Macaca fascicularis: one gene and its partners. The protein of the gene in region 3 purifies or fractionates together with the protein of the main gene of each other region. This does not show direct contact. Links are inferred from orthologs where the notes say so. Each region holds a gene or a part of one and is shown on either strand. Other genes may lie near its edges. The genes, in order: DNAJB11, EXOC7, EGFR, NCL, UBASH3B, AP2A1 and YES1.

Region 1 (3,911 bases), on a different chromosome or scaffold from region 3:
CTATGTGTGTTTCTTTTGCTCCTGGAGTCCTCTTGCAGCTTTAATTCTTGAAACTCAGGCGGCAGCACCAGACATTAAATCCCCAAAGGGAGAGGTATTAGTAAACCTTTTGCTGGTCATTCTTTTCTGAATGCAAATGGACAAATTCTTAAGCCCTCTTATTCATTTCATGATGATCATTAGACAAAAAAAATTAAGCCAAACTTGCATATTGAAAATAAAAACAAAAACACACACAAAAAAACCCTGTAGATAATAAATATCGCCGATTCACTTATTTTAAACAAAGTCCAATTTTATTCACTGTTAATATCCTTGCAGTCCATTGTATACCTTCTGCACTGACCCTTGTTTCAGTAGCTGTTTGATACCTGAAGAATGAATGAACAAATGACTCCATTAACAAAAAAATGTTACTTTCCTAGTGTTTAAAGAGCATATTTCAAGAAAAGGCTCATAAAAGGCCTTATGACAAACATGGATGTGAATTAAATAACTACCAATCTCCAACATAATCGCATGTAGGTAATCCCACACATGCACATATGTTTCCAGGATGATCCCTTGTCTCTTTTAGGCCCACATACCACATACATGTCCCACAAAGCTCTGCAAAATGAGGAATGAGAAGAGGCAATCAAAAGGGAAAGAAAACTCTTCAGTTAAGTCTCCCATTCCTTCTTCTGTATCCTCTTTTCAGTTTTTTCCTCCTTCATTGCTCTCCTTTCTCTTACTATTTAGGACCCCGAGTGGGGCCCTCTTCTCAGCCAGTCATCCTAGACATGCAACCATAAGCTCCTAATCTTTCTATTGTCTACCTCATCTTCCCTTTTACAGAGTGGTCCAGCTCATTTGTTTTAAGGGATTCTGTTTCATTCCCACATACTCTATCACTCCCTAGGTTTCGAAGCACAGCTTACACAGACTTTTGTAACACAAAGATGTAGGATTTTTAACATATCGCCTTTACAAAGTAAGATGAGTTCATTCCTATGTTAGTGTTCTACTAGCATTAATGATTGATGTCTTGATGTCTCATGTCACTGGAGAGTTCTGCTTCTATTGCCACCCTTTTCTCATCACACACACACACACACACACACACACACTCATATGCCATACCTTCTCTTGCTTCCTCTGTTAACTGTTCTTTTGGAAAATCCACATCAAAAGTGATTATCAAAGAGCCCTTGATATTATTGTTGTCAAAGTTGGGGAGCCCTTCCCCTTTCTTCCATAGCTTCGCTCCTGGCCTGGTGATCTTATCCCGGGAAATATGTACCTAGGAAACAAAAGGGAACGCACTGCAGCAGGAGCGGTACATCTGAAGTACATCATACAGCTTCTAGTGAGCACTGGTACACAAAGCTAATGTCACAGCTCAGCAAAAAGAAAGAATGAAGGAGCAAAGGAAATATCATTAGGACAATGTCAGTCAAGAACAAAGGATTTTATTAAAGAAGAAAAATCAAACACCAAAACAAGTAAACAAAGAAAGGTTTTCATCAATAGAAACTATAAGGACAAGACTGTCAAAGGCTGTGCAATCCATTCTGAGTAGCTGAAAGGTCTGGCACTGTTATTGCAGGATGCTCAGCAGCAGAGTAAGTACAGACGAAGAATACGACTGAGAAAGGAGTCCCTCTGGTTCTCAATGACTGAAACAGCTGATACATCTCAAAACTACCCACATAAAGGCTTCAAAAGGACGGAGAACAAGTAAATTGGTTTGTTTACCTTGTGACCATCCAAGTGAGTAATATCCATCTCAAAGCCAACCAGCGACTCAACTAATGAGATTGTCACATTTGTGTACAAATCATCTCCTCTCCTTTCAAATATTGGGTGCCTAAAAACAGAATAGGTAAACATCATTAATTTCCACTTTAAGTTCAAAGAGTTGTTAGAAAAATCTTGGAAAAAGGTGAACACCACTCTTTCAAACCATAAACATTTCTTAGACATACGTTTGTGTGTAGTATTAATCGAGAATATAAAGTTGTTTAAGTCTTATTAAATGCTACTGTTAAGGAACACACAATCAGCAAAAGCCAGAGTATAAGTAAAACTATAATCATTAGATTATGGAAAAAAGAGAAAGAAAGTTTCTGGGGAGATCATCTTCAGAAATGGGTCTACAGAAGTTTCCTGAGCTGGGCTCACAAGACTAAGTTGGCTGTAGAAATGCAGATAAAATGGGTGGAAGGAAGGGGAAATAGAGTGAGAAGGAATTCTGGCAAAGACAAGGAAGGTGTCAGGTTTATTCAGGAAACAACACACATTCCAGTTTCTCTAAGAAGTGATGATAAAGACAAGGTAGGCAAAGAAGCTGGGGAAAACAACACTGAGATTAAAGAGTGCAGGAAGGAAAAGTCCCAGACAGTGGGCGGCCATTTCTCCCTATTCTGGTGGGAACTCTGTTTTGATGACTCCTTATAGATGCAGAGATATTACTGGTTTCCAAAGCGGTAACAAGAGAGAAATACTAATCAAGAAAGCCGGAGTCCCAGGCAAAATTGTCTAAGCAGCACTTCATGCTGAAGAGAAGCTCACAAAAGAAAAGCTCTCTCTTCACAGAAGCTGCATATTACGTAGAAAGTTATTTCTATGGCAAAGTCTCCTATTCTTGTATGGTGCCATAGTTCTTCAGCTAAAATCTCAGCTTTGACTCCCTATCTTGTTTGTTTCTCTTTTATAACTCCTTACTTATCAATTCTTTCCTTTCAACATCTTTTGCATTTGTAAAGTCCTAAGTAAATAAATAACTGGGGCTCAATCCTAGGGCCCAACCCCAAGCTTTCAGCCTTGTAGAGGAGTTACAAATCATCGTTTAGGGTAATAAGGGTAAGAAACAGAGAAAAAAGTCTCTAACTGCTCTGGTGGCCACCCACACCTCTATAATCTGACTCATCTGAGAAGACCTCTAAAATTAGATAACTTACTTGACAACTTTGATTCGGAACCGTAAATCTCCAGGCTCCCCATCCACATGAGGCTCACCTAGTCAGAGCAGATTACAGCATATTGTAAATCATACGAGTTGAATACCACACATCTATTTGGCAACTGATAATTCTTTTTAATCCACTACTTTGGGCATTGATCTGTCAAATCTGTGGCGGCCGTGTCTCTGCCTGGTTCTATCAAGTTTCAGATTATTAGAAATCATTACCTTTGCCTCAGATACAGCAGTACATAACTTGACCCATTTCCTAAACCAAGAATGATTCACTGGTCTATTGAACCTAAGTCTCAAAGCTTTTTTTTTTATTTTTAGAGTTTTAAACTTAAGTCTAAAGGTGAGGTCCTGAGAACATCTTATTAATGCCAACTAGAGTTACATATCTTCTTTCATTGCTGAGTTAAAATTCATTAAGGTCTGAACACCCTAAATTTTGAGGAAACTTAGGTTACCTCATAATAACTTTTGGCCATGACATTCAAAGGATAAACAGTAATGCTACTGCTTCAGGTAAACAAAAAGTTTTGTATATCCTAAAATTGGCTGAAGGGTATTGGAAATTATATATGCATTTACTATGTGAACATTAAGATGGAGCAAGGCAGGGATGAGAGGTATTCACAAACAAGCAGAGAGCAGAAAGTTATGACAATAAAAAAATCAAATATCAATATTTTACCTTCTCCAATAAAGGGGTACTCCATGCCGTCTCTCACCCCAGGCTCTATTTCTACTTCCAGCGTTCGTTCTTCATTCACTAGTCTGAGGTAAAGACAATTAAAAGAGGAGAAAAATAATGAAAATATAAACAAAACATCAGATATATATATAAAGTTTTATCTATTTTATCAGAGCTTTTTCTTGGAAGACTATAGTGTGCCTCTACTTGACAAAACTATCTGATAAATCTTTTACACCTTCTATATGCTAAAATCCAGGGTGAAGCTAC
Region 2 (3,911 bases), on a different chromosome or scaffold from region 3:
GGTGTAGCCACCACACCTGGCATAAATAAACATTAACAGTGCTCATCTTTGGGTTATGTAATGGAGGCATCGCGGAAGTGGAAGATGGACTTTTATTTTTCACCCATGGCTTTCTGTACCATTTGAAAATTTTACAACTAATCAAAAAAGGCAAATGAACATAAAAATCAAGACAAGAAAAGTTTGAATTTGCCTAGATTCACAGCTTGATATATAAGTCATAGAATGGTTGCTTATATTGGTTCCAGTTAAACATCCTTTTATCAAAAAAGCCACGACAAGTGGATTAAAGAATAAAGGCAGCTGGGCACGGTGGCTCACGTCTGTAATTCCAGCATTTTGGGAGGCTGAGGTGGGTGGATCACCTGAGGTCAGAAGTTCAAGACCAGCCTGGCCAACATGGCAAAACCCCATCTCTACTAACAATACAAAACTTAGCCAGGTGTGGTGGCGTGCGCCAGTAATCCCAGCTACTCAGGAGGCTGAGGCAGGAGAACCGCTGGAACCCGAGGTTGCAGAGGCCGCAGCAAGCCGAGATTGCACCATTGCACTCCAGCCTGGGCAACAGAGCAAGACTCCATCTCAAAAAAAAAAAACTCACTCTGCCTCCAGTGTGCCACGTGGCCGAGTCAGAACCTCTTACCTTGGTTGCGGCCGTATTCCACCAGCCAGCGGGAAATGCGAATGACATCCTGCAGCACGCTCTCGGGCAGGTGCTCCAGGGTCACATCCTCTTGGGCGTCCAGATCATCATCACCACTGATCAGATCCAAGATGAGCACAGGTGAGACGACCTTACTGTGCCGTGTCATCAGGCTGCGGAATTCAGACTCCAGGGCCTCCTTCCCGCGCTCAAAGAGCAGTTTCTGCAGGGACAACAGAAGGAAGCGGGTGCCTGCTGCTTCAGTGCTCTGCCAGTCCTGGCCTTCCCCTGCCTGTGCCAGCTTGGTCTTCCTAACTCAGGGCCTCTGCCCTTTTCTGCCCTGATACCCTTTTTTTTTTTTTTTTTTTTTTTGAGACAGAGTCTCGCTCTGCCGCCAGGCTGGAGTAGTGCAGTGATACAATCTTGGCTCACTGCAACCTCCAACTCCCTGGTTCAAGCAATTCTCCTGCCTTAGCCTCCCGAGTAGCTGGGATTACAGGCACATGCCACCACACCCAGCTAATTTTTGTATTTTTAGTAGAGATAGGGTTTCACCATGTTGGCCAGGATGGTCTTGATCTCCTGACCTCAGGTGATCCACCTGCCTCAGCCTCCCAAAGTGCTGGGATCAGGCATGAGCCACCGTACCTGGCCTGCCCTGATATCCTTTAACCCAAAGAAGAAATGTCAGGAAGCGGCCTTGGTGACTCCTTTACTTCATATTCTCTCAAAATTTGTGTTTACAGGTAAAAACCAGGGTTTTACAAGAAGTAGGTGCTTAATAAATACTGGCTGATTATTTTCTCACTGCACCGTTAATGTGTCTTCTTGTTAGTGGGGGGTTTGCAAAAGAGAATAAATAAATAACTTGAACAGTATCAAATTGAAAACTTCTGTGCTGCAAATGATAACATCAACAAAGTGAGGATAACCCACAGAATGAGAGAAAATATTTGTAAACTACATATCTGATAAAAGACAGGTATCCCAAACATAGAAGAGAATGAATCTGTCCACACGATGACGTGTATAAAAGGGTTTATAGCAGCATTACTCACAAGAGACAAAAATTGGAAACAACCCAAGTGTCCATCAAAGGATAAATGGCTAAAGAAAATGTGGTCTGGCTGGGCATGGTGGCTCACGCCTGTAATCCCAGCACTTTGGGAGGCTGAGGCAAGCGGATCACCTGAGGTCAGGAGTTCAAGACCAGCCTGGCCAACATGGTGAAACCCTGTCTCTACTAAAAATATAAAAAATTAGCTGGGTGTGGTGGTGGGTGCCTGTAATCCCAGCTACTTAGGAGACTGGGATAGGAAAATCGCTTGATCCCAGGAGGCAGAGGTTGCAATGAGCCAAGATTGTGCTATCGCCCTCCAGCCTTGGCAACAAGCGCGTAACTCCGTCTCAAAATACAAAAAAACAAAACAAAACAAAACAAAAAACAAAAAAAGAAACTGTGGTCTATCCACAAAAAGGAATAGCATATGCAAGAAAAAGAAATGAAGTACTGATACACGCTATAGCATGGACTGATCTTGAAAGCATCATGCTAAGTGAAAGAGGCCAGCAAAAAAGGCCATGTATTATAAGATACCATTTATATCAGAAATTCAGAATAGGCAAATCCATAAAGACAGAAAATAGATTTGTGATTTCCAGAGGCCAAGCCACTATCTTGCTCTGATGATCTAATGACCCCAAAACTTAAACACAAAGATACAATGAAGGCAGGTACAGTGGCTAATGCCCATAATCCCTCTCAACACTTTGAGAGGCCAAGGTGGGAGGATCACCTGAGGACAGTAGTTTGAGACCAGCCTGAGCAACACAGGAGACCTCCTCTCTACCAAAAGATTTAAAACTTAGCTGGGCATGGTGGCACGTGCCTGTGGGCCCAGCTACTCGGAAGGCTGAGGCGGGAGGATTGCCTGAGCCCAGGAGTTCGAGGCTGCAGTAGCTATGGTTGTGCCACTGCAGTCTGGCCTAGATGACATAGCCAGATCCTGTCTCTTAAAAAAAAATTAAAAATTGGCCGGGCGCGGTGGCTCAAGCCTGTAATCCCAGCACTTTGGGAGGCCGAGACGGGCGGATCACGAGGTCAGGAGATCGAGACCATCCTGGCTAACACGGTGAAACCCCGTCTCTACTAAAAAATACAAAAAACTAGCCGGGCGAGGTGGCGGGCGCCTGTAGTCCCAGCTACTCGGGAGGCTGAGGCAGGAGAATGGTCTAAACCCGGGAGGCGGAGCTTGCAGTGAGCTGAGATCTGGCCACTGCACCCCAGCCTGGGCGACAGAGCAAGACTCTGTCTCAAAAAAAAAAAAAAAAAAAAAATTAAAAATATATAATGCAAAAAAAAAATCACATAGATTCAAGTTCCTAGAGTAGATTCACAGAAACGGAAAGTGGAATGGTGGTTACCAGAAGACAGAGGAAGGGAGAATGGGAAGTTAGTGTTTGATGGGAGTGGAGTTTCACTTGAGGAAGATGAACATATTTGTGGAGATAATAATGGTGATGGCTACACAACATTGTGAAGGGACTTAATGCCACTGTTAACTTAGAGTTAAAATAGTATATTTTGGCCGGGCACGGTGGCTCACGCCTATAATCCCAGCACTTTGGAAGCCAAGGCAGGCGGATCACCTGAGGTTAGGAGTTCGTGACCAGCCTGGCTAACATGGTGAAACCCCGTTTCTACTAAAACTACAAAAAAAAAAAAAAAATTAGCCGGGAGTGGTGGCGCACGCCTGTAATCCCAGCTACTCAGGAGGCCGAGGCAAGAGAATCGCTTGGGAGATCGCACCATTGCACTCCAGCTTGGGCAACAAGAGCAAAACTTCGTCTCAAAAAAAAAAAAAATTTATATTATGTATTTTTAACCAAAATAAAGAAACAACAAATACATTTATAAAAATCAAATGTGGCTGGGTGCAATGGCTCATGCCTGTAATCCCAGGCCAAGGTGGGGGATCATCTGAGGTCAGGAGTTTGAGACCAGCCTGGCCAACATGGCGAAACCCCATCTCCACTAAAAATACAAAAATTAGCCGGGTGTGGTGGCGGGCACCTGTAATCCCATCTACTCCGGAGGCGGAGGCAGGAGAATGGCATGGACCCGGGAGCAGAGGTTGCAGTGAACTGAGCACTGCACTCCAGCCTGGGTGACAGAGCAAGACTCTGTCTCAGGAGAAAAAAAAAAAAAAATCAAATGTTAAGTATATATTTTATATGTAATTTATAATTTAATTTTTATAATACATTT
Region 3 (4,513 bases):
TCGGACAAGGCAGTGGAGTTTGGAAGTTGAGAGAGGGATCTGGAGTCGGAAGCCCCTGGTGTGAGTTTTACATCTGCCTCCTACCAGCGGTGGGAAAGTCACTTTAGTTCTTTGTACCTCAGTTTCCCCCATAGGAGGAGAGTGTACACCTCTTATGCTTAATGTGGGGATTAGGACGCATGAAACGGTGTCTGGCAGTCATTACGTCTAAGAGCAGCAAGTCCAGAAGTTAGCATGTCCCAGAACCAAACAAAACCCTTACTAAACGAAGTGCATCTTGAATAAAATCGACTGAATTTGATAGACACAGGTCTCAAACAAATTTCTGTTAAAAGAGCTCATCTCCTACTTTAATAATTTGCCCCTGAAAATTCAGTCTTTTATGTTACTGTAACAGAATAGCGCCTGTTCACCTACTCTCTCTGTCTTCAGGAGTTTCTGTTTTGAGTGAATACAGGATAAACAGGCAAATTAAGTGGTATTTATATTTTTCTCAGGAACAAATCTCCAATCACTAACAGTGGTGTTCAAGCAAGTAACATCAAAGAATGAGAACCCCACTGGAGGGAGAAAAGTGATGCTTTGGAGGTGCTCTGAGGGTTTAATTTAAAATAAAGAGAAGAGTCTCTTCAGCAGAGACAGGGCTGACACCTGACTAACAGGACCCACAGTCAGCCCCCAAGCAGGCAGGAGGGGCCCTGCAAGCTCAGCAGAGAAGAAACCTTTCCACCAGTTCCTTCAATGAAAAGAGGAATCTTTTATTATTGGAACCACACCCCACCTTTTCCCTCTTTCCTATATTTGGCAACATTGTTAAAATTCCAGATGTCCTCAAAGAGCTCTTTGCATTGGCAAGTAATCTCTCCGGAGACTTTAACAATCCTTCTTCCGTCCGGTGATCCCCAAACCTGGCTCCCCAACAGATCACATGAAAAGCATTAAAAAAAAAATCCCATGTCCAGGTCTTGCCCCATGCCAATTAAATCAGAATGTCTGGGGGCGGGATTCAGACACTGGTTTTTGTTTTGATTTTTTTTTTTAAATCCCAGGTAATTCTAACGTGCAGCAAGGTCTGGGAACCACTGTTCTATGTCTTGCCCCTCCCCCAACGACCGCGCTGGGCACCAAACCCCAACTCCCCATGCCAGTGACATCAACAGCAAGTACGGGCCTGGCTCTTGGAACCCGCGCAGCTCAAGGTTGGAATTGTGCAATTAAACCTTCCGAGGCATGTTTCCCGTGTCAAGTGGGTTTATGGTCAGTAGTCACGAAGCCAGACTCGCTCATGTTCTGTCTGGACACTTGGCACACTTGAACCAGGGACATCAATCCGGTGTGTGTGTGTGTGTGTGTGTGTGTGTGTAAGACAGGTTTAATATTTTGGTTGGCTCAATGTCAAATTCTTCAGACAGCAAAAAGAAACATCCAAGAAAGAAACTCTCCGGGTTTTGAGGAGAAAAGTTTGCTGTGAGCCCCATTTTGAAACACTGTGGTGCTGGCCAGGATGAGCTCTGCTTCCTGGGCTTCCGCACTAGAGGCCGCGATCCCCCCAGCAGTGGCCGGACAGCCGCGTCCCCCTCCACCGCGAAGCCCAGGCGCGACCGAAGGGCTGCAGGTGGGGCAGACCCGGACGTCCCCGCGAGGCGGCCACCGAACGAGAGCCCGGGCCTTTCTGCGCGGGCGCCCGGGAGGGAGCTCGGGTCCCCAGGAGGTGGGGGGCATACCTGGACCGGCAAGACGAGGGCGCGCCGAGTGAGGCGAGCGGCCGGGGTCTGCGCCCAAGGGGCGGGTCGGACCCCACCTGCCTTTTGCCAACGAGGAAGCTCACCGCCGCCAGCACCACCCCTTCCCAGGCGCCGCAGGTGGTGGCGGACTTCTCCCAGCTCCCAGGTTGAGGCTGCGACTCCACACCTGGGAACCAGGATCGCGGGGACCTGGAGAGGGGCCGGGGTCAGGCTGGCCGGCGCCGGCTTCAGTTTGAGACCTGCGCGGAGCGCGGAGGCAGGGAGGTTCGCTCAGGAAGCCGCCTGTCCCGCGGGGTCCGAAGGGAGGCTTTATTTTCGGGGTCCTTCCTCAGCTTCCCTAAACAGCGCAGCCTCGGCGGGTGGGCAGCGCCAGTCCCTCGGGTGCGCGCCGCGACCCCGCCGCGCCCTGGGAAGACAGCGCGGGGCGCACGTGCGGGACCCCGGCCCCAGGCACCCACCCGCACGGGGCTTTCGCCCACTGACGCCGATTCCGCGCAGCGGGGCGGGGAAAGTGAGGGTGGAAAGTTGGGAGCGGTTCGGGGCGCCGGAGGTCCAGGCGGCCGTTTCCCCGCCGGCCCGCAGCCCAGTGCCCCACGCGTCTCCTCCCCCGCCCGCCCCAGACTCTCCTGGCCCAAGAACGAAACGTCCCGTTCCTCCCGCGGTCCCGGCCGGCGGCGCAGCTGATCTCAAGGAAACAGGAAAGGACGGGCGGGGGCGCGGGCGCCGAGCCGGTGCGCCGGTGCGCGGCTGGGCTGGCTGCGGGGTCCGGGGCGCGATCCGGGGGCAGCGCGGGAGCCGGCGAGACACGCCCTTACCTTTCTTTTCCTCCAGAGCCCGACTCGCGGGGCAGAGCGCAGCCAGCAGCGCCAGGAGCGCGGCCCCGGCCGTCCCGGAGGGTCGCATAGCTGCTTCCCGAAGAGCAAGCTCCGGCTCTCCGGATCAATAGTGGACGGAGTCAGGCGGCCGTGCGCGGTGGTTGTGGCGTTAGCGGCGAGGCGGGGACTCGGGCGGACGCCGACGAGGTGGCCTGTCGTCCAGTCTGGGCGGCGGCGGCCGCCGGGGCTAGCTCGGGACTCCGGCCGCTTTGGCCGCGGCGGGCGCGCACACCGTGCCGGGGGCGGAGGCTGCTGCGGCCGCGCTGCGCCGGGGGCTGCCCGGACGTCTAGCTCGCGCGGGCCGGGGCGCGGGGAGGCAGGGCGGGAGGAGGAGGGACCAGGCGGCGGAGGAGGGATCGGGAGGAGCAGAGGAGGAGGAGAATGAGAGGAGGAGGGAGGAGAACCAGCCGCGGGGACCCAAGGCCAGCGGCCGCCGGAGGCGGTGGACAGCGGTGACCCCCGCGGGACCTGGTCTCCCGCGGGAAGGGGGTGGCGCGCGGGAGGGGAGCGGGTGCCCTGAGGAGTTAATTTCCGTGAGGGGCGTTCCCAGCACTGCCCCTCTGGACTGGGTCCCCGCAGACTTGCAGGCCCAGCCTATGTCGAGGTCGAGCCAAATCTGTGCCAGGGTCCCCTTCCCCCTTTCCCTTCTTTTGTTTTACAGAACAAACTTCTACCAGCTTTAGACAGACTGGCCGAGCCCTAGAGCCAGCGTCGAATAATGGCACCGACGGGGAAACTGCTCCTTTATTCTGGTCCTCACCTCCCCTGCAGCACCCAGGGACCCTCGCGGGGATCAGAGGCTGGCCTGGCAGCTGAGGAGGTCGCTGTGCCCGCGCTGCAGGGGTGCCAGGCGTCCGAGGTGGTGCTCTAAAGTCCGAGGGTCCTTCAGATCCCGTGAAGCACCCTAGAAATCGTCTGAAATGAGGGCACCCAACTTTGGGCGCAGAGACAGGCCTCCTCAATGTTTACTGCAACCGGCCGTGGGTACTTTGAAGCCAATGTGTGAAGCACGTTACTTCGCAAAAGTGAGGCTCTTGGAATAAAGGCTTGACACAAACAGCTGTGGAGATGCTTTTAGAGAGGCTAAGTGTCCCACTGCACCGGTAGCTCCCGCAGGAGAAATGCCAGGGAAGTTCGCGAAAGTTTGGCCGAAAGAAACTGAGCTGCTTTAGGCTGCAGGAACTTGAGCTACATTCCTTTGGCAAGTCCACCCCATCCCCACTGTTGCTTCTCCTGCAGTAAGAATGTCCTCTAGGTCCATGTTACAGTCAGACCCCTCCTCTCTTCACGAGATTCACTAGGACCTTCAGGCCTGGTTCAACAACCCTGATCTCCCGGCTCTGTCAAAAATCATAATCCTGAAGTAAGTAGAGCTACAGATCTGCCCTTTGCTGTCTCTGAAGGGGAGCAACCTTGCATCTTTCCTCCGCATCCAGCGAAGTGTTTGTGCCTGGGTTTCACACCCTGCAGCCTGAACGGTGGGTTTTTCACCAGGGCAAGCGCAGACAGACACAAGGCTCCTCACCACCCGTACAACCTGGAACTTCCCTGTGAATTAGAAGAAGTAATTTGTTCCTTTGTTTTAGCGGATCAGTACAGCCACTGTGCGTTGAAGTCAGTCCCTGGATGCAGAGATGGTGAAGGCTCTGCAGGCACGTGTGTGCTTCCTGCACACCTGGGCTGAGAGCAGTCCCTATAGAAACACAGAGACAGAAAACAAAACTAGAGAAAGGCAAATGCGAAGCACAGCAGTGGAACATAAAATGAAGACAGGAGTGAGTCTTACAATAAAAGACCTAAATATGATAAACTCTTGTGCATTCACTTAACAACTGCCGCAAATTTGTTTCTAAACTATATTTTCTGTCAAGGGAATGTGACCTGTGTGCACAA
Region 4 (3,911 bases), on a different chromosome or scaffold from region 3:
AGTCTTGATTTTGACCTTTCTCTCCGGTATAGTACAGGGAAATAGATCGCCCATCAATCTCTGTTCCCTGCTTTTCCTCAAAGGTTTTCTCTGCATCAGCTTCTGTCTTAAATTCAATATAAGCAATCCTGCAATGGAGGGAGAAGAACTCATGGTTTTTAAAACCACATTAACACAAATGCTTTTATACCTCAGCAACACAGAACTTGCTTCAGATCTGAATACAATAAATGCCCTTAGTTTTATGCTACTTTTCAATCAAACTTGAGCTTCCCTCTTACTTCCCACTACAGTTTTACAAATACTCAAAATTTTTTTCACAGTAACCTCACCTCACTGAACTACTACTCACAAAATATTTGTTGTAAGCTAGGCACATTTCTTGCTCCTTTATATGTATTACCTTGTCTTTTAAAATCACCCTATGAGTGCGTTATCCCCATGGTACAGATGGGTAATTGAGGCACAAATTTACAGGTTAAACTGCCCAAAATTACACACCTAAGAAAATCAAACCAACATTTCTTTTATAAAGCAGGAATGTGTATTCATGTTAAGAAAACCCTTACATTTCAATAGACAGAACATACCCTTTACTTTTCCCATCCTTGCTGACTAATCTGATCTCCGCAGCATCTTCAAACACTTCTTTCAATTCATCCTGAGTAACTTTGTAAGGGAGATTTTTAGCCAAAAGCGTTCTCGCATCTCGCTCTAGATTAAAAAAACAAAAATGAGCTCCATGGCCTGAAAAACCAAAGGTGGGGGGCAACAACAAAGAGGGGAAAAAAAAAGACATAGCTCTATTCAACAAATAATTTGAGATCCTATAATGTACAAGGCTCTGTGCCTTGGAGATATAGCAGTGTCAACACACAAGTGGTCCCTCCATGTTGTCACAGCTGATGTCAAACTATCCGCTGGGTACACTAGAGTTCAACCTGAAGTAGATGCATATTATTTTTAGAAACAAAAAAGGTGAACGTACCAATTTAAAACATTACAACATTACAACTGTATATAGAGAAATAAAGTAAACGATGCAAACAGTAATTAGGGACCTAATCTAGTTTCAGTGAAGACCCCTTTACATTAATTTAGGTGCATCTAATAATTCGTGTTCTGTATAAAAGTGCTCTTGCTTGCCTAACTCAAGAATTTACACTGTAACACTAGCAAGCAGTGCCAAGTACTCTTGTAAACACCAGCTCATTTAATTCCCACATTAAGAGGAAACCAAGGGGAAAAAAAAATTTAAAGAGAGGAAACCAAGGGAAATGGGTTACAAAGCATTTTCCCTAGCAGTCTAGCTCCTGAATTTATTGCATAATATCCTAAAGCCTTACATACCCTTCTTACTGTCTTTTCCTTTTGGTTTCTCTAGTTTAATTTCATTGCCAAAGACTTTCAAACCAGTGAGTTCCAAGGCTTTCTCCAGGTCTTCAGCAGATTCAAAATCCACATAACCAAATTTCCTTCAAGGTGGAGAGAAGGGCAAAATTACAACAGATGAAAACACAAATTGAAATCCACAATATGTATTCTAGACAAATGTGATGATGCAAACGAAGATCACATTTTAAAAAGCACTCCTAATATTAGCAAAACAAAGTCAAGGCTCTGCAAATTGTAGCTACAGAATAAGGTCTCAGTACGGAGATATGACGTGCACATTCACGTTTGAAGTCATCATCATTAGCTAAATTGCTTATAACAATTCACAGTAGCAGCTGACAAAAGAACACCTGTAAGCACTAATACAGGAGAATCCTGCCTGGATAAAAGCATTCACTATGATGACTAGTCAGGTCTAATAGTTTCAGGTACTTCCAAGAAAATAAACATCAAATTATTATTATTTTAAACTGAGACAGAGTCTCGATCTGTTGCCCAGGTGGAGTACAGTGGTGCGAACTTGGCTCACTGCAACCTCCGTCACCCAGGTTCAAGCGATTCTCCTGCCTAACACCAATACTGGTGCCTCAAGACCCCAATTTAGGCTGGGCACAGTGGCTCACGCCTGTAATCCCAGCACTTCGAGAGGCCGAGCTGGGTGGATCACTTGAGGTCAGGAGTTCGAAACCAGCCTGGCCAACATGGTGAAACCCTGTCTCAACTAAAAATACAAAGATTCGCCAGGCGTGGTGACGTGCACCTGTAATCCCAGCTACTCAGGGGGCTTAGGAAGGAGAATCACTTGAACCCGGGAGGCAGAGGTTGCAGTGAGCCAAGATTGCGCCACTGTACTGCAGCCTGAGCGAAAGCCAGAGTCCGTCTCAATAAAAAACAAAACAAAACAAAAAAGACAAAAAAACTTACTAAGATTATTCTGTGCTATACCAAGTTACGACTGACTGGAAATTTGCAATCCAGGGACTCTATAGTTTAATTCTAACTTAGTTCACTAATGCTAATCCTTGAAAACGTTTACACTATTCATGTTTAGGAGTGGCAGGCTAAAGTAACTGTGCTAATAAGGGAAGGAAAAGTATTAACAGACCCATGTGTATGTAATGCGCATGAAGCACTTACCTAGTCATACCAATTCTGACATCCACAACAGCAAGATCATTTTTAGCAAAAACATCGCTGATACCAGTTTTTAACTCAGGAGCAGATTTGTTAAAGTTTAGGTTTCCAACAAAGAGATTGAAAGCTGTAGTCGGTTCTGTGCCTATACAAAAAAAGCTGAACTCAGTCTACTTGTGAAGTGTGGTAAAAAGTTAGTTTCCAAAGCAAAATTTCTATACACAGCACATCAGCACACTGCAATGTAACATCATGTTTCAGTATTAAGTCCCTTTGTCATTCATCATTTGTGCTGTTTATCTCCCCCACATCCACTAATTCTGCAAGTTACCTTCCACTTTCTGTTTCTTGGCTTCAGGAGCTGCTTTCTGTTTGGCCATTTCCTTCTTTCGTTTTCCAGGTGCTTCTTTGACAGGCTCTGGACAAGATGTCAATGTATTACCCATCAATAGCCACAAACACTTAAGTGCCTCCTTTAAACAACTCATGTCAATGTATGTCAGAATCTAATTACCTTCCTCCTCCTCTTCTTCCTCCTCATCTTCATCATCATCATCTTCATCCTCATCATCTTCATCGTCGTCATCATCCTCGTCCTCATCATCCTCTTCTTCATCTTCATCCTCAGCCACGTTCTTGGCTTTCACAGGAACAACTTTTGCAGCTTTCTTTCCTTTGGCTGGTGTAGTCTCCATAGCTTCTTCTTCAGAGTCTGAAAGATAAGCCACCTAAAAATTGCAGCAATCTCCCAAAACCAACATCGGTTTTAAAATCTAATGCAATCCTGTCACCATGTTTAGTTAATAGTCATGGCAAGAAGAGATTACTTGGGGCCAGGAACAGTGGCTCACGCCTGTAATCCTAGCACTTTGGGAGGCCAAGGTGGGTGGATCACCTGAGGTCAAGAGTTCGAGACCAGCCTGGCCAACACGGTGAAACCTCGTTTCTACTAAAAATACAAAAATTAGTAGGGCATAGTGGTGGTCGCCTGTAATCACAGCTACTTGGGAGGCTGAGGCAGAACTGCTTGAACCCTGGAGATGGAGGTTGCAGTGAGCTGAGATAGCGTGCCACTGCACTCCAGCCTAGGAAACAGCAATAACTCCCATGTCAAAAAAATTAAAAAACAAAAACAAAACAAAAAAGATCACTAAGAAACAAAATCCTACATTATGAAAAACACTCACAGAATGTGCTGTTGAAATTTTCTCAGGAGGGACAAAAATCATTCATGGGTAATTAAGTCTAACACACAACAGCCCAGAGAATTCCCACAAGGACTCTACTCTCATCTCCAGGTTGTTGTGGAATATGTTGATCCCAGAATCTCAAGATATCTTGCAATCAGAAGCCCAGTAACTACCAAGACAACTCCTTACCAT
Region 5 (3,911 bases), on a different chromosome or scaffold from region 3:
TCCCTGCTTAGTTATCGTCATATTGCATGCAGTCCAGTTGTTCTGTGCAAATTGAATACATAAATGCCTTCTGGTAGTGAAGAGGTCTACTTAAGGTTAAAGGATAGAAGACTCAGATGTAGTGTCAAGTTCTTTGTTGGCTTATTTCTGGCTCATTCATTTCTTTGGTAGAAGTAAACAGTCTAATCCTGTTCCTTTTAGTTTTCCTTCCCATGAAATGAGAATGGAGATACCTGTAACTCATGCTTCCACAGATTTTAGGGTGAGAGTTGAGTATCTTGGTAGCAATGATGCTTTTAAAGTCTCTCCAATTAAGTAAAGAAAAAATGATGATTAAGATTTGAGGCTCCTAGGAGCACCACAGGAGGCAAACAACAGATCAAAACAGGAAAGTTATTTGACTATTAAGTGTAAAGAAAGGATCACACTCTATAAGCTCTAAACATTTTGCAAGCCTAGGATTCATCCAAGAGCGCTTTAAATTCTCAAAGAAAACATGACTAGTATACTTCCTCTTATTTCGCTTAGGCTGCCAGAGTATGTTTTTGTGACTTGGGCAAAGATCGCCTTCTGAAAGAATCCTTGCTTCATTCCAAATTCGAAGCTTTCAACTGGCAAATGTCCCATGATTCTAAGATAATTTATGTGTGGGGCTGCCTAGAAACAGAGGGATGGACTACTTGTTTTTGTCAACCTGCAAGTCTTACCTTTCAAGATATTGTGTGCAGTCTGAACGCAGCGAAGGGACGGGGAGCAATAGACATGATCGATAATGGTATTGCTCTCTAGTAAGGCTTCGCCTGCAAAGAAAACCACAAAAGAATCAGTCTGATGGATTTACTCAGTCTCACCTCGATTCGCAGTGTGAGAGGGGGCCAAGCAGTAAGCCCCTGTAAACCCTTCTTTCCTAACTGGGGCTCACATAGAGCCAGTAGTGTCAGCCTTTGTTAGTTTCTAACAAAACCCCTCATCGGTGTTCCTGTGAGAGCAAGTGACAGAGCCCTTCTTGCCTTTTCTTTCCCTTCCCTCTGGTGCTAACAAGTGGTAAAGCCTTTAGCTAGGAGATATTAAGAAACAGGACAATACTTTGGCTTCAAGTTTGTGAAAGAGGATTTATTTTATGAATATTAGGTCTTGTTTTAATTTTATTCTGTGCTAACCAAAATCTCAACATGTCATATTCTTAGACACCAGAGATAAATCCCAACACCTCATACTTTAATGCTATCCTCATAAAATCCACTTCTTTAAAAAATTTATTATTCTTCTTAATTTAATTTTCAGAGATAGGGTTTTGCTCTGTCATCCAGGCTGGAGTGCAGGGGTGCGATCATACCTCGCTGCAGCCTCAAACTCCAGGTCTCAAGCAGTCCTCCTGCCTCAGCCTCTCAAAGTGCTAGATTGTAGGTGAGAGCCACCACGCCGGGCCTGGAAACCAGTTATTTTGTCTACTGGATTAAATCCGAGCACCTTAATATGGTGATCAAGGTCTTCCATGAACTTGCCTTTATCCATCTTGCCAGCCTCATCTCTGCCTTGCCTTGCAATTTATACTCTAGACATAAGGCACTTTGTTTCCCCTGCATTCCTGAGGCTGTTTCTCAAGCCTCAGACACAGTTTATGTGGTCCCTCCCACTGAGAATGCCATTTCCTCACTCCTGCTCCTTCTTTGCCCAGCTAACTTCCACTTCAGCTCCCAGCTCACCTCTTCACCTCTTAGATGTCTTTTTGTGTTCCCATAATATTTGGTGACCACGCATAGCTCTATGTATATTATATTGTATGATATTTATCCACACATAAGTTTGTTTCCCTGACTCACACTTGGGTTCCCTTAGTCCAATACCTTGCACAAGGTAAGTGAGCACTACATATCTGCTAAGTGACTGAACAGGAAAGTACTATCTCCCCGCGGCAGTAATGGAATGGGCTTGCAAAGAGCTGGGCATCTTCAAAGGATCAGTTGGCCTTTATAAATTCAGCAAGTCCAGGTCCGTCTTCTTCACTCTTGTCCTCTTCCACAGCCATGCTGGCAGATGCTGCTGTCTTGAACTAGAGGCTGACCTGTCTGCTACATCCAACAGTGAGCACAGTAACCCAAGCCATTACTGGATCACGAGGTCCTCAATAAGGACCACACCTCATTCACTTTGGTCAACCAACCCAGGGCTGAGCACAGTGTCCTAAACTTAATGGTTGTGTAGCAAGTTCCTTTTGAATTGAAGAAATTTATTACTTGTAGGAAAGTTATAGAAGCCCCCAGGAAGGGTCCCGCATATCCATGGTACCAGCGTTTTGAAGGAGGCGGCAGGAAATGCCTGGAGTATAGTCACTCCAGGATACTTACCCACTAGTCTCGCTTGCATGCATCCAAACACAGTGATGGGAGCATCTTTCTCATAATCTCTGAAACCACCACTCCGCTGAGGTAAACTATGAGGCATGTTCAGGTTGCTCCGTATGTAGCGGCCTGAAAAATAAAAAAGTTAGACAGAGGATACATACATTTCTTGTTTACTTGAGACTCCCTTACTGATCCTGACATTCTCCACCCCCATTCCTTCTTGGCCAAAGAGATCACATTGAGCTCTCTGGAGCTGATGGAAAATATCAAGGCTGATATTTTGTTTCATAAAGTGACTTGGAATTCACTCTTCCATTCTACTGACAAAAGTGACATGAGGTAGTTTCTCAGTGAAGGTAATAACCATGCACCCTAAGGCAGGTGAGATTCCCTGGTCAGGCAAGCCTCCGTGTCTTCAAATGCCACTCAAGTGAAAATGGAACCCAGCGAACCCGGGAGGTTTAATGGCAGGAGCTCTGGCCATGGGATTAGGGCACGTTGCTGCTGCTGACTTTGCCATGTGGCCTTGGGCAAGACATCTGTCTTCTTTAGTCCTGGCATCCAAGTTTATAGAATGGGGACAAGAACACTTACTTCTTCCCTAAAGCTCAAGACAATCAGGAGGGGCTTACGGATAACAGACATTTTCTATAGTACACAAAACTATAAATGACTCCATCCGGATAACCGTAGCTTGACTGTGCCCCCTAGAGGCCACTATGGGTATGGCAGTGCTGAGCAGGCCCACCAACAACTCACCTTTGGCATCGAAGCACTGGGATAGCCAGTACTTCCCAAACACAACATCCATCCTCTCACCATGCCGACACACAAAGAGGCATCGCTTCTGGGGGCCAGGCTGGCTGTTGACCCTCAGCGGCTACAGAGAAAGAAAGGCTATTAGTGAAGACTCACATGGCAAAGTGGACATGTCTTGGAGCCAGGTGCCAGGTGAGCTGAGCTCTCCTACCAAAGTTCTGCCAAGGTGTGACTAGGTGAGGACAGTAAGACTCATCCTACAGACCTCATAAATTATTTTGAGGCTCAAATAAGATAAACTGCATGTCTTTATAAAACGAGGAGGGTTGTGAAAAGGGCATTATTGTTGCTACAGCTGCCCTGTGTAGGAGTAGCATTTGGCCATTACTAAAACATGCTGTACACTTTCAGTTACAGCTCAGAGGCAAAACTAGCCATTCATGTAGAGACAGCCATCTAGTGGGACATCTTCCCCCGCCCAGAAGGGGCGATTCATCAACTTCTTCAGGGAGTGAGGGCTTCTGTGATCACAAATGTGTCTACCTTTTCTCTAAAGTGTGTGGCCAGATCGCATGGTCCTCATGGTCCACTCCAGCAACGAGACCCTGTTTTCCTATTCTAATCACAATGTAGGCTCTGCTGTCTGACTATATGTATGTTGGTGATCCCCAAAATGAGACAACTGCTACCTCTGGGTGATGACACAGGCAAATCGAGTCAAAGGCTTGTCCAAATGACTTTGGCTTCTATAACTGCTGGATGGAACCTTACAGACGTTTCTGCATTCCTTCTTTCTGATATAGTCAG
Region 6 (2,922 bases), on a different chromosome or scaffold from region 3:
GGCTACTGGAGCTCCTGTGTTTCTGCCGTGTTTGCCATGTGTATTGCTAAGAGGATTGCCTGCAGCTGCACAGTTTCCCCAGGAAAATGGGGGCCAAGGCTGAGAAAGAGGAAGAGGGTGAGCTGAGAGCATCATGGTCTTCAAGTTGCTGACAGCTTGCTAGAATCCCGAGGCCCTGCCCTGGCAGAAGGCTCCCAAAACCTGTGCTCAGAGACCCCACGCGTTCAGAACTTGGGCCCAGGATGTGGTGTGGCTTCCAAAGGTTAGCATGCTACTTGTCACCTCAGTCCCCCCGTTCTTTCCCCAGAGCCAGGGCCACCAGAGAAGACAGAAGATGAGGTCTACCAGGCCCAGCTGCCCAGAGCCTGCTACCTGGTGTTGGGGACTGAGGAACCAGGCAAAGGAGTGCGTCTGGTGGCCCTGCAGCTGGGGGTTCGGCGGCTGCTGCTGCTGCTGTCTCCCCAGAGTCCCAGCCATGGGCTGCGAAGCCTAGCCACCCACACTCTGCATGCCCTCACCCCACTTCTTTGACTACCTAGCAGTGGGTGATGGACACAGACATGGGGCTGTTAGCGTCTCTCTGTTTATTCGCTCACAATAATACACAGCCCCTGGATGGGGAGGGGGTAGGAGGGGCTACAACAGGGTGGGGTGGGAGGGGAGGAGGCATCCACTTTCCTTGCCCCTCTCCCCTCTGTGCTTGGGAGGGGGGAAGGGAGGGAGGGGGCTCCCCCTAACCCCCCAGAATGTAAACAGCAGCAGATGAACAAAAATAAAAATACAAAAGGCCGGAGGAAGGTCCCAGGCATCCCCCAACCCCTGGCGTCTTCTCTGTCACCAGTGGAGGTCCCCCATCCACCAAAGCTGCCTCAGTCCAAGGGGCTGCCCAGTGCCGGCCACATCCCCGGGGGCAGAGTCCAGGGCTCAGAACTGCTGTGCCAGCAGCTCACACAGGTGACGGGAGACGGGCTCCTTGCTGGTGCGCAGGGTCAGCCGATACATCTGGGTGGGGACATTGGGGGCAGAACTCAGAGAAGATGGGGAGCCCAGGGAAGTGGGGACACAAGGGAGATAGAAGAAAGAAGGATAAAGGGGCCAGAAAAGTGATACAAGACACAGGAGAGGAGAATGTAAGAATGAAATCAACGGAGGAGCCAGAAAGGAGGGAAATTATAAATGAGAAGAGAAAGGTGGAAACGATATGGAAAGGTAGAAATCAGGGAGGGACAGGAAGAGGAGAGGAAGACCAGAGGTTGGAGACAGGAGAGAAGATTGATGGATAAAGAGGAGGAAAAGTGGACAAAGATGCGAGAGGAGGAGGGTCAAAGGGGGGACGTGAATTGAACAGTGAGGCAGGAAGAGTGGGCACAGAGATGACAGGTGGCCTTCCTGCCGACCTCAGGCCTCCCACAGCAGCACTTACCTGGGCCTGGGCGTTGGGTTCCAGCCGGAGCAGACAGCCCACCTGCAGGGCTTTAGTCTGGATGATCCCTGCCCCCACGAAGTTCTCAGGGTTGGGGTCCACATTGTCCAGGAGAGCAGAGCCAAACCCCAGAAGCTGGGAGGGAGGGGGGCCGCCGTCAGAGAGTGCCAGAGCTGTCAGTTACCACACAGTGGCATCCCAGATCCCAAAAACCCTTGGGGATGGGAATTGGCCCCACTTTACAGATGGGAAAACAGAGGCTCAGAGAAGCAAAGCAGCCCTAGGCCAGCAAACACGCCCGCGGTCTCTCACCTTGGCCTTAGTAACTTCTGCGTCCATGGGGTGGTTGGCTTTGAAGATTTTCTGCGCCTCCTGTTGAGGGCTGGGGACCGGGAAGGTTCAAGTCAGGGACCTGGACGGCCCGACCCGCCCACCCGGAGGCGCGGCTTTGGCGCCGCCCCCTCCCCACCCCTCACAGGCTCAGCTGCTTCCAGCGCTGGAAGAAATCCTGGGCCGCCATCTCTGTGGGCTGGAAGAACTTGTTGATGGTCACTGGGAGCTTCAGGGTGAGGGCCTGGGGGGTGCCACCGTACCTGGTGGAGTGAGGGGGAGGCTCCGTTAGGCCCCGCCCCTCGCCCCGGAGGCCCCGCCCACTGGCCGCGCCGCACCTCACTTACCGGAAGCGCACGGACAGCAGCGGGGGCGTCAGGAAGTCCCGCAGACACTCAATATTGAGCACCTGCTGCACCTGCGCGCCGCCATCCACCTGCGCCGCCACGCGCTTGGTCTGCACAGCCAGCTGTGCCCGCCAGCGGTCAAGGAAGCCAGACAGAGGCGGCGGGCCCCCGGGAGGTCTGGGTCAGGAACCCCAGAGCTGCCGGCAGCTCCCGCCTGCAGGTCTTTGAGGGACCCCATGGTGCAATCCTGGACTCAATCCTACAAGGTTCAACTACAAAGTTCATACTATGGAAACCTCTGAGGCGCCCCCTAGGTGCCTCCTTTGGCCTCCCACAATGTCACACCTCACTGAGACATAATAGTATTAGCTCTGGAGGCTGACTTGGGTTTGAATCCCATCTCTTACCCACCTGAGTGGCTGTGGGCAGCCACTTAACCTCTCTAAGCCTCTGGACATGTGTAAGATTGGGCAACATGGCAAGACCCCATCTCTACAAAAAAAATTAGCCAGGTGTGGTGATGTGCACCTGTACTTCCAGCTACTTGGAAGGCTGAGGCAGGAGGATGCCTTGAGCCCAGAAGATCGAGGCTGCAGTAAGCAGTGTTCGTGCCACTGCACTCCCGCTTGGGTGAGTGAGGCCCTGTCTCAACAAAAGGACATGTGTAAAATGTCCTCAGGAGTTGATGAAATAATCCAGCCGGGTGTGGTGGCTCACGCCTGTGATCCAGCACTTTGAGAGGCCAAGGTGGGAAGGATCACTGAGCCCAAGGGTTTGAGACAAGCCTGGGCAACACAGTGAGGCCTCATCACTATTTAAAAA
Region 7 (4,676 bases), on a different chromosome or scaffold from region 3:
GAATAGTATCCATTCGTTCAATAAACATTTTGATTACCTTCTATTGGTTATTTACAATACACAAGCCGAAGCGGATTTTAATTTTGTAAAACCTGTGTCTTCTCTCAAAATATTAAAACAATTAACTTACTAAAGAAAACCAAGTAGAACTTTATTTAGAAATTTTTTCCCAACAATTCTCTAATTATTGTACATTTAGGAGTATTTGACTTTTTTTTTTTTTTTTTTTTTTGAGACAGTCTCACTCTGTTGCCCAGGCTGCAATGCAGTAGCACTATCTCAGCTCACTGCAATCGCTGTCTCCGGGTTTCAAGCAATTCTTGTGCCTCAGCCTCCCAGGTAGCTGGGATTACAGGGGTGCACCACCACACCCAGATAATTTTTGTACTTTTTAGTAGAGATGGGGTTTCACCATGTTGGCCAGGCTGGTCTCAAACTCCTGGTCTCAAGTGATCCCCTTGCCTCCGCCTCCCAAAGTGCTGGGATTACAGGTGTGAGCCACCATGCCCAGCCTGACGTGTTCAAAGTCGTTATACATACTAGCTGGTATATGACAATTATGATTTAACAAATCTATTCCTATTTGCAAAGGATAGCCTAGGTAGTGTTCTAAAGTCAGTCACCAAATTATGTTCTTAAACCAAGCACCTCATATAGTACATTATACACTGGATTCCTTAAAAAAAATTCATGTAAAATAAAACATAGAAACAGATTCTGCATACAGACGTAGGGCTTAATGTATTACACTAAAACCAATACCCTTGGTAACTCCTATCAGGTTAAAACAACTTTGTCACCACTTCAGAAGCCAGGTCCCTATCACAATCTCCTCCCTCTTCCTATATATTTCCTTTCATAGAACCACAGGTATTCTATGCTTCTATCTTTACGTTCACAGAAATTTCCTTGCAGGTTTTTTCTTTTTTAATTACCCAAGTTTGGGCGACACCAGAGTTTAGCATCACTTAAATTTTTTTGGCATTAGTCTTCTTTCTTACTATAATGCTAATAGAATAACTGATGCCTACACTGATGTTGTAAAGAAAAACTACCCATAGGAATAAATTATTTACTGTCTTAACATGATGCAAATTTCAACTTTGAGTAAGTCTTACACCATTGGTTGATAATATTTCGCTTATACAGGTTTACTTCTAGTCTTTTAGCACATTTATTCTTTTATCAATACATACCACGAAGGAATTCTACTTGCATAAACAATTTTTCAGCTTGTGAATTTCCTGAACTAAAACACACACAAAAAAACGCCCATGTATTAATGTTATATACTTCGACCATAAGACAAATTCCACCTAACCCAGGAAGACAGGTCAAAGCTGTAATTTCACTTTCAGATGAACAGAAAGGAATCAATTTTGTGGTTTATGAAGTCAGCAAAACCTAACTGCGAAATTAAAGCTATTATAACATTACGGTGGTTACAACAGAGTATGTATTTTAAGAGCCCTTTTATCTTTTATCCTGGAAACATGGATATAAACTGTTTTGTTTTCAGATCAAAGGCAACTGTCTATTTCAAATGTAGGACCCTCTGAAATGTTAACCAGCATTTAAAATCTCCACCGACTTTTAGCTAATGTCCAAAAATTAAAATACAATTTAACTTCCTTTTCTTACATGTCAATTGTGGCAGGGGTCTCACATTTATAAGCAAACAAAAACAACAAAACCATATATATTATTTGCTAAAGTAAAACTTCCTTACTGTACAATATATGAAAATCGTAAGTGATGCATACAAGATCCTTGGTTAATACAAGATACTCCTTTATTACCTGACCAAAATGCTTCCTGTCCACCGTGTGCCAAGCACTGTGACAGTTATTAGATTTACCATGCACTTTTCCTTAAATGCAGTCATGTGTATACATTTAGTAATATTTTCCTTAGTGAGTTATTTAACTTTAGAAATTTAACAGGATGGTTTAAACACATTTAAAATTATCAAGACATCTTTGGCACTAATCTTACAATTATAATACATGAAGATACTATAATCATATTATATACACGTGAAATCAACTATGTGAAAACACACATCCGTGGAACGTATATACATAATAAATGGTATGGACATAAAATTGTGCTTCCACCAGACTTTATTTCCTTTAATAATGTACAAATTAGACCGTATGTTATTCCACGCCTGTATCAATTAATTATGCAGAAAATAATTCAACCAAATCCGAACTGTTAAGTCCTACTCAAAACAAAAACTAAAGTCCCTACACCAGACTTGATTTTCAAAGAGCTTCTTAAAACAACTCTGCTCCATGCCCAATAAAGTGAAAGCTGGAAGCAATTATCAAGAAGAAAAACACACTTTAAGACAAAATTTTCTTTAACACATGTGGACAGGGAACCGAACGCAACGGGAGGCGGAGTGGCATGAAAAAGTGGACGCTGAATGGTAAATTTCCCAACCCCCAATCCAAAACAAAGGAAAACTTTAAACATGTTGCGGTTTTCAATCAAACCGAGTAAAGCCCGAGAGGCTCACCCACTCGCCCCACACACCCTCTCCTCTCCCCGCACAGCTGCTACTGGCGTCGGCCGAGACACAGACCCCCAGCCTTTAGGACCGAAAAGGGACCGCTTCCCTCGCCCCCACTTCGGCCGTGTGGGCAAAAATAAACCTCGCCTCCACGCCGCCGGGCTGTCCACACGACCCCAAAGACAAGCGGTGGAGAGTGTCCCCACGCCCCTGGGACCTCAGGTCGGACTTGGGCGGGACCCGGCAGGACTGAATGGGGCAGAGACCAAGTCAGGGGCGAGCAGGTAGCGCGGGGAACGAGACGAGCCCGCGGGGCGAGCCGGGGGAGGGGAGAAGTTTCTTCCCAACTTCCCGACTCTGGCCCGCGGGGGCGGGGAACCGCGGCGGTGCTGGCGGCTCCGGGCGCTGGGGCCTAGCCCTGTCCGTGCCGGGGTGGACCCCTCCGCCCGCGGGGCCCCACCCGGTCCTTACCTGTCCTCCGGCCGCGCTCTCATGAGTCGCTGCTGCCGCAGCTCGAGGTGGCGGGAGGGGACGGAGGGCGGAGGCGAGGCCCGCGGGCCCTCTCCCTCCTCCACCTCCTCGTCCCGGGGCGCCCGGCTGCAGCAACCACTGCAGAGCCGGCCCGGGACGCGTTGCTTCAGGACGAGGGAGTTCCCTGGCTCCCCACCCCTCGGCCTCACTCTCCACCTCCTTCCCCCGGCCCCGCCCCCTCACTTCTAGCGGGGGCGGGGGCGGGCGCGGGGCGGGGGCTGCGGCTACCTGCGCGCGCCGCCGTCCGCTCACCGGAACTCGGGCCACGCCGGCCAGGCTCCAGGGCCCCCAGCCTTCCGGCGCTTACGCCCCCGCCAGGTCCCCTCCGCGGGCTCTGGGCCGCTTTGCTGTGGTCTAGGTATGCGACCGGTCCGTGTCACTTCTCCCGACCCAACATGGCGGCGGGGTCCGGGGCGGATTCCCGGGGGCGGTGCAGGCTGAGGGGGCGTGAGGAGGAGGTGCTTCCCCGCCCGGAGAGCAGGCCCGCGGCGCCCCTTCCCAGCCGCGAACCCACCGACGCTCGGCTGCCGCGGGGATTGAATGGGGCGCCCCGATTCCGCCCCTCTGCCTTTCTCTTTTCCTTGGCCCGGCTCTCCGTAGTGCCCAGGGCTTTGGGGCTTGTTTTTGCGGGGGAGGACGGGGTTGAGTTTTTTTGGCTGGCTGCTTCTCAGCACTATGCTTCCGCACCCTTTGTCGTTGGTAGTAAAATCTCAGCCCAACCGCGTGAGCCGGGGGCGTTACTCACACTCTCGTCACTATCCAGATGCCGTCCAAACAACGTTCACGTCTGGCCTCCTTCCGAGGCAGGGATCCTGTCCCTGCCCCCAGGAGCTTCCTGTTAACTGTAGGTCGAACCAGCCTTGCCGGGAGGGGAACCGAAGCTGAGTTATGTTTGGCGACTATCTCAGTAATGGTGGCTTTGGCTTATGTTGGGACAGCGTATGTCTATATGCTGCTGGCGGCAGCCCAGTGAGGGAAGTGCAACAAGTATGGTTATCCTGCTCGAAAGCTGTGGAAACAGCGACCCCGAAAGTGGAGGAGCCAAGCTGGAATCGTGTCGGTCTGAAGCCGCGCACCTTTCCTATGAGCCTCGTACCCAGTCGCTGAAGAAGGGGGAGGACCCGGAAGGATGGGGTGGGGGCGTTAATCAAGGTCCTCATGAACTGACCCTTGAGGCACTTCTGCTGCAGTCACTTCTGCCTTGTCAGACTTTCGGAGTAACTTCCTTTCTTTATTTCCTCTTTGGTGGGGTTATCAGAATAGTTGTGTGACTATTGGTTTCCTTTGCGGTTTTTAGTGAAATTCAGAATCATCGACAGATACGAAATAGTACAGTCATACGTGTCAGTATTTCGGTGTTCTAGGAACTTAAGGAAATGCACATAAGGGTTTGAACATTTTTTTTTCAGCTCACTAAATGAACGAAAGGTAGGCATAGGCATTAAAGATACACATAATGTGGAACGGTGCTGTATTTTCTTTAGCTACTAAAACTTCATTTGTCTTTGACTGTCTCAGGGTTGTAAAATTTTATGTAGGTCTATATTCAGCTTTTATTAAAGTAGAAAATTCCTTGAGCTGTTGAGTTTCTTCACTAAATAGAGATGTCTTTGTCTTCTTAAACACT

What was found.
Region 1: the proteins of EGFR (region 3) and DNAJB11 purify together in Homo sapiens (affinity purification with mass spectrometry; 3 studies listed by BioGRID and IntAct, with this or other methods). This does not show direct contact. The link is inferred for Macaca fascicularis from reciprocal best matches to the Homo sapiens genes EGFR and DNAJB11.
Region 2: the proteins of EGFR (region 3) and EXOC7 purify together in Homo sapiens (affinity purification with mass spectrometry; 3 studies listed by BioGRID and IntAct, with this or other methods). This does not show direct contact. The link is inferred for Macaca fascicularis from reciprocal best matches to the Homo sapiens genes EGFR and EXOC7.
Region 4: the proteins of EGFR (region 3) and NCL purify together in Homo sapiens (affinity purification with mass spectrometry; 3 studies listed by BioGRID and IntAct, with this or other methods). This does not show direct contact. The link is inferred for Macaca fascicularis from reciprocal best matches to the Homo sapiens genes EGFR and NCL.
Region 5: the proteins of EGFR (region 3) and UBASH3B purify together in Homo sapiens (affinity purification with mass spectrometry; 10 studies listed by BioGRID and IntAct, with this or other methods). This does not show direct contact. The link is inferred for Macaca fascicularis from reciprocal best matches to the Homo sapiens genes EGFR and UBASH3B.
Region 6: the proteins of EGFR (region 3) and AP2A1 purify together in Homo sapiens (affinity purification with mass spectrometry; 7 studies listed by BioGRID and IntAct, with this or other methods). This does not show direct contact. The link is inferred for Macaca fascicularis from reciprocal best matches to the Homo sapiens genes EGFR and AP2A1.
Region 7: the proteins of EGFR (region 3) and YES1 purify together in Homo sapiens (co-immunoprecipitation; 3 studies listed by BioGRID and IntAct, with this or other methods). This does not show direct contact. The link is inferred for Macaca fascicularis from reciprocal best matches to the Homo sapiens genes EGFR and YES1.

What each region holds. Positions count from the first base shown.
Region 1 is NC_088376.1:98,531,612-98,535,522, reverse strand, and holds part of DNAJB11 (dnaJ homolog subfamily B member 11), read right to left. Parts: intron 3,725-3,911; coding exon 3,642-3,724; intron 3,001-3,641; coding exon 2,943-3,000; intron 1,850-2,942; coding exon 1,738-1,849; intron 1,283-1,737; coding exon 1,123-1,282; intron 372-1,122; coding exon 307-371; 3' UTR 1-306. UniProt on the Homo sapiens protein: As a co-chaperone for HSPA5 it is required for proper folding, trafficking or degradation of proteins.
Region 2 is NC_088390.1:82,528,159-82,532,069, forward strand, and holds part of EXOC7 (exocyst complex component 7), read right to left. Parts: intron 867-3,911; coding exon 644-866; intron 1-643. UniProt on the Homo sapiens protein: Component of the exocyst complex involved in the docking of exocytic vesicles with fusion sites on the plasma membrane.
Region 3 is NC_088377.1:75,386,102-75,390,614, forward strand, and holds the start of EGFR (epidermal growth factor receptor), read right to left. Parts: upstream 2,910-4,513; 5' UTR 2,649-2,909; coding exon 2,561-2,648; intron 2,334-2,560; exon of another isoform or gene 1,725-2,333; intron 1-1,724. UniProt on the Homo sapiens protein: Receptor tyrosine kinase binding ligands of the EGF family and activating several signaling cascades to convert extracellular cues into appropriate cellular responses.
Region 4 is NC_088386.1:127,378,912-127,382,822, forward strand, and holds part of NCL (nucleolin), read right to left. Parts: coding exon 3,909-3,911; intron 3,242-3,908; coding exon 3,044-3,241; intron 2,948-3,043; coding exon 2,861-2,947; intron 2,824-2,860; exon of another isoform or gene 2,754-2,823; intron 2,675-2,753; coding exon 2,533-2,674; intron 1,476-2,532; coding exon 1,351-1,475; intron 715-1,350; coding exon 591-714; intron 129-590; coding exon 1-128. UniProt on the Homo sapiens protein: Nucleolin is the major nucleolar protein of growing eukaryotic cells. It is found associated with intranucleolar chromatin and pre-ribosomal particles. It induces chromatin decondensation by binding to histone H1.
Region 5 is NC_088388.1:121,593,786-121,597,696, reverse strand, and holds part of UBASH3B (ubiquitin-associated and SH3 domain-containing protein B), read right to left. Parts: intron 3,226-3,911; coding exon 3,105-3,225; intron 2,472-3,104; coding exon 2,349-2,471; intron 801-2,348; coding exon 708-800; intron 1-707. UniProt on the Homo sapiens protein: Interferes with CBL-mediated down-regulation and degradation of receptor-type tyrosine kinases. Promotes accumulation of activated target receptors, such as T-cell receptors and EGFR, on the cell surface.
Region 6 is NC_088393.1:57,792,998-57,795,919, reverse strand, and holds the end of AP2A1 (AP-2 complex subunit alpha-1), read right to left. Parts: intron 2,226-2,922; coding exon 2,101-2,225; intron 2,017-2,100; coding exon 1,900-2,016; intron 1,806-1,899; coding exon 1,736-1,805; intron 1,559-1,735; coding exon 1,424-1,558; intron 1,003-1,423; coding exon 925-1,002; 3' UTR 568-924; downstream 1-567. Other genes in the region: FUZ (protein fuzzy homolog), read left to right, coding at 308-531.
Region 7 is NC_088392.1:69,457,027-69,461,702, forward strand, and holds the start of YES1 (tyrosine-protein kinase Yes), read right to left. Parts: upstream 3,182-4,676; 5' UTR 3,013-3,181; coding exon 2,990-3,012; intron 1-2,989. UniProt on the Homo sapiens protein: Non-receptor protein tyrosine kinase that is involved in the regulation of cell growth and survival, apoptosis, cell-cell adhesion, cytoskeleton remodeling, and differentiation.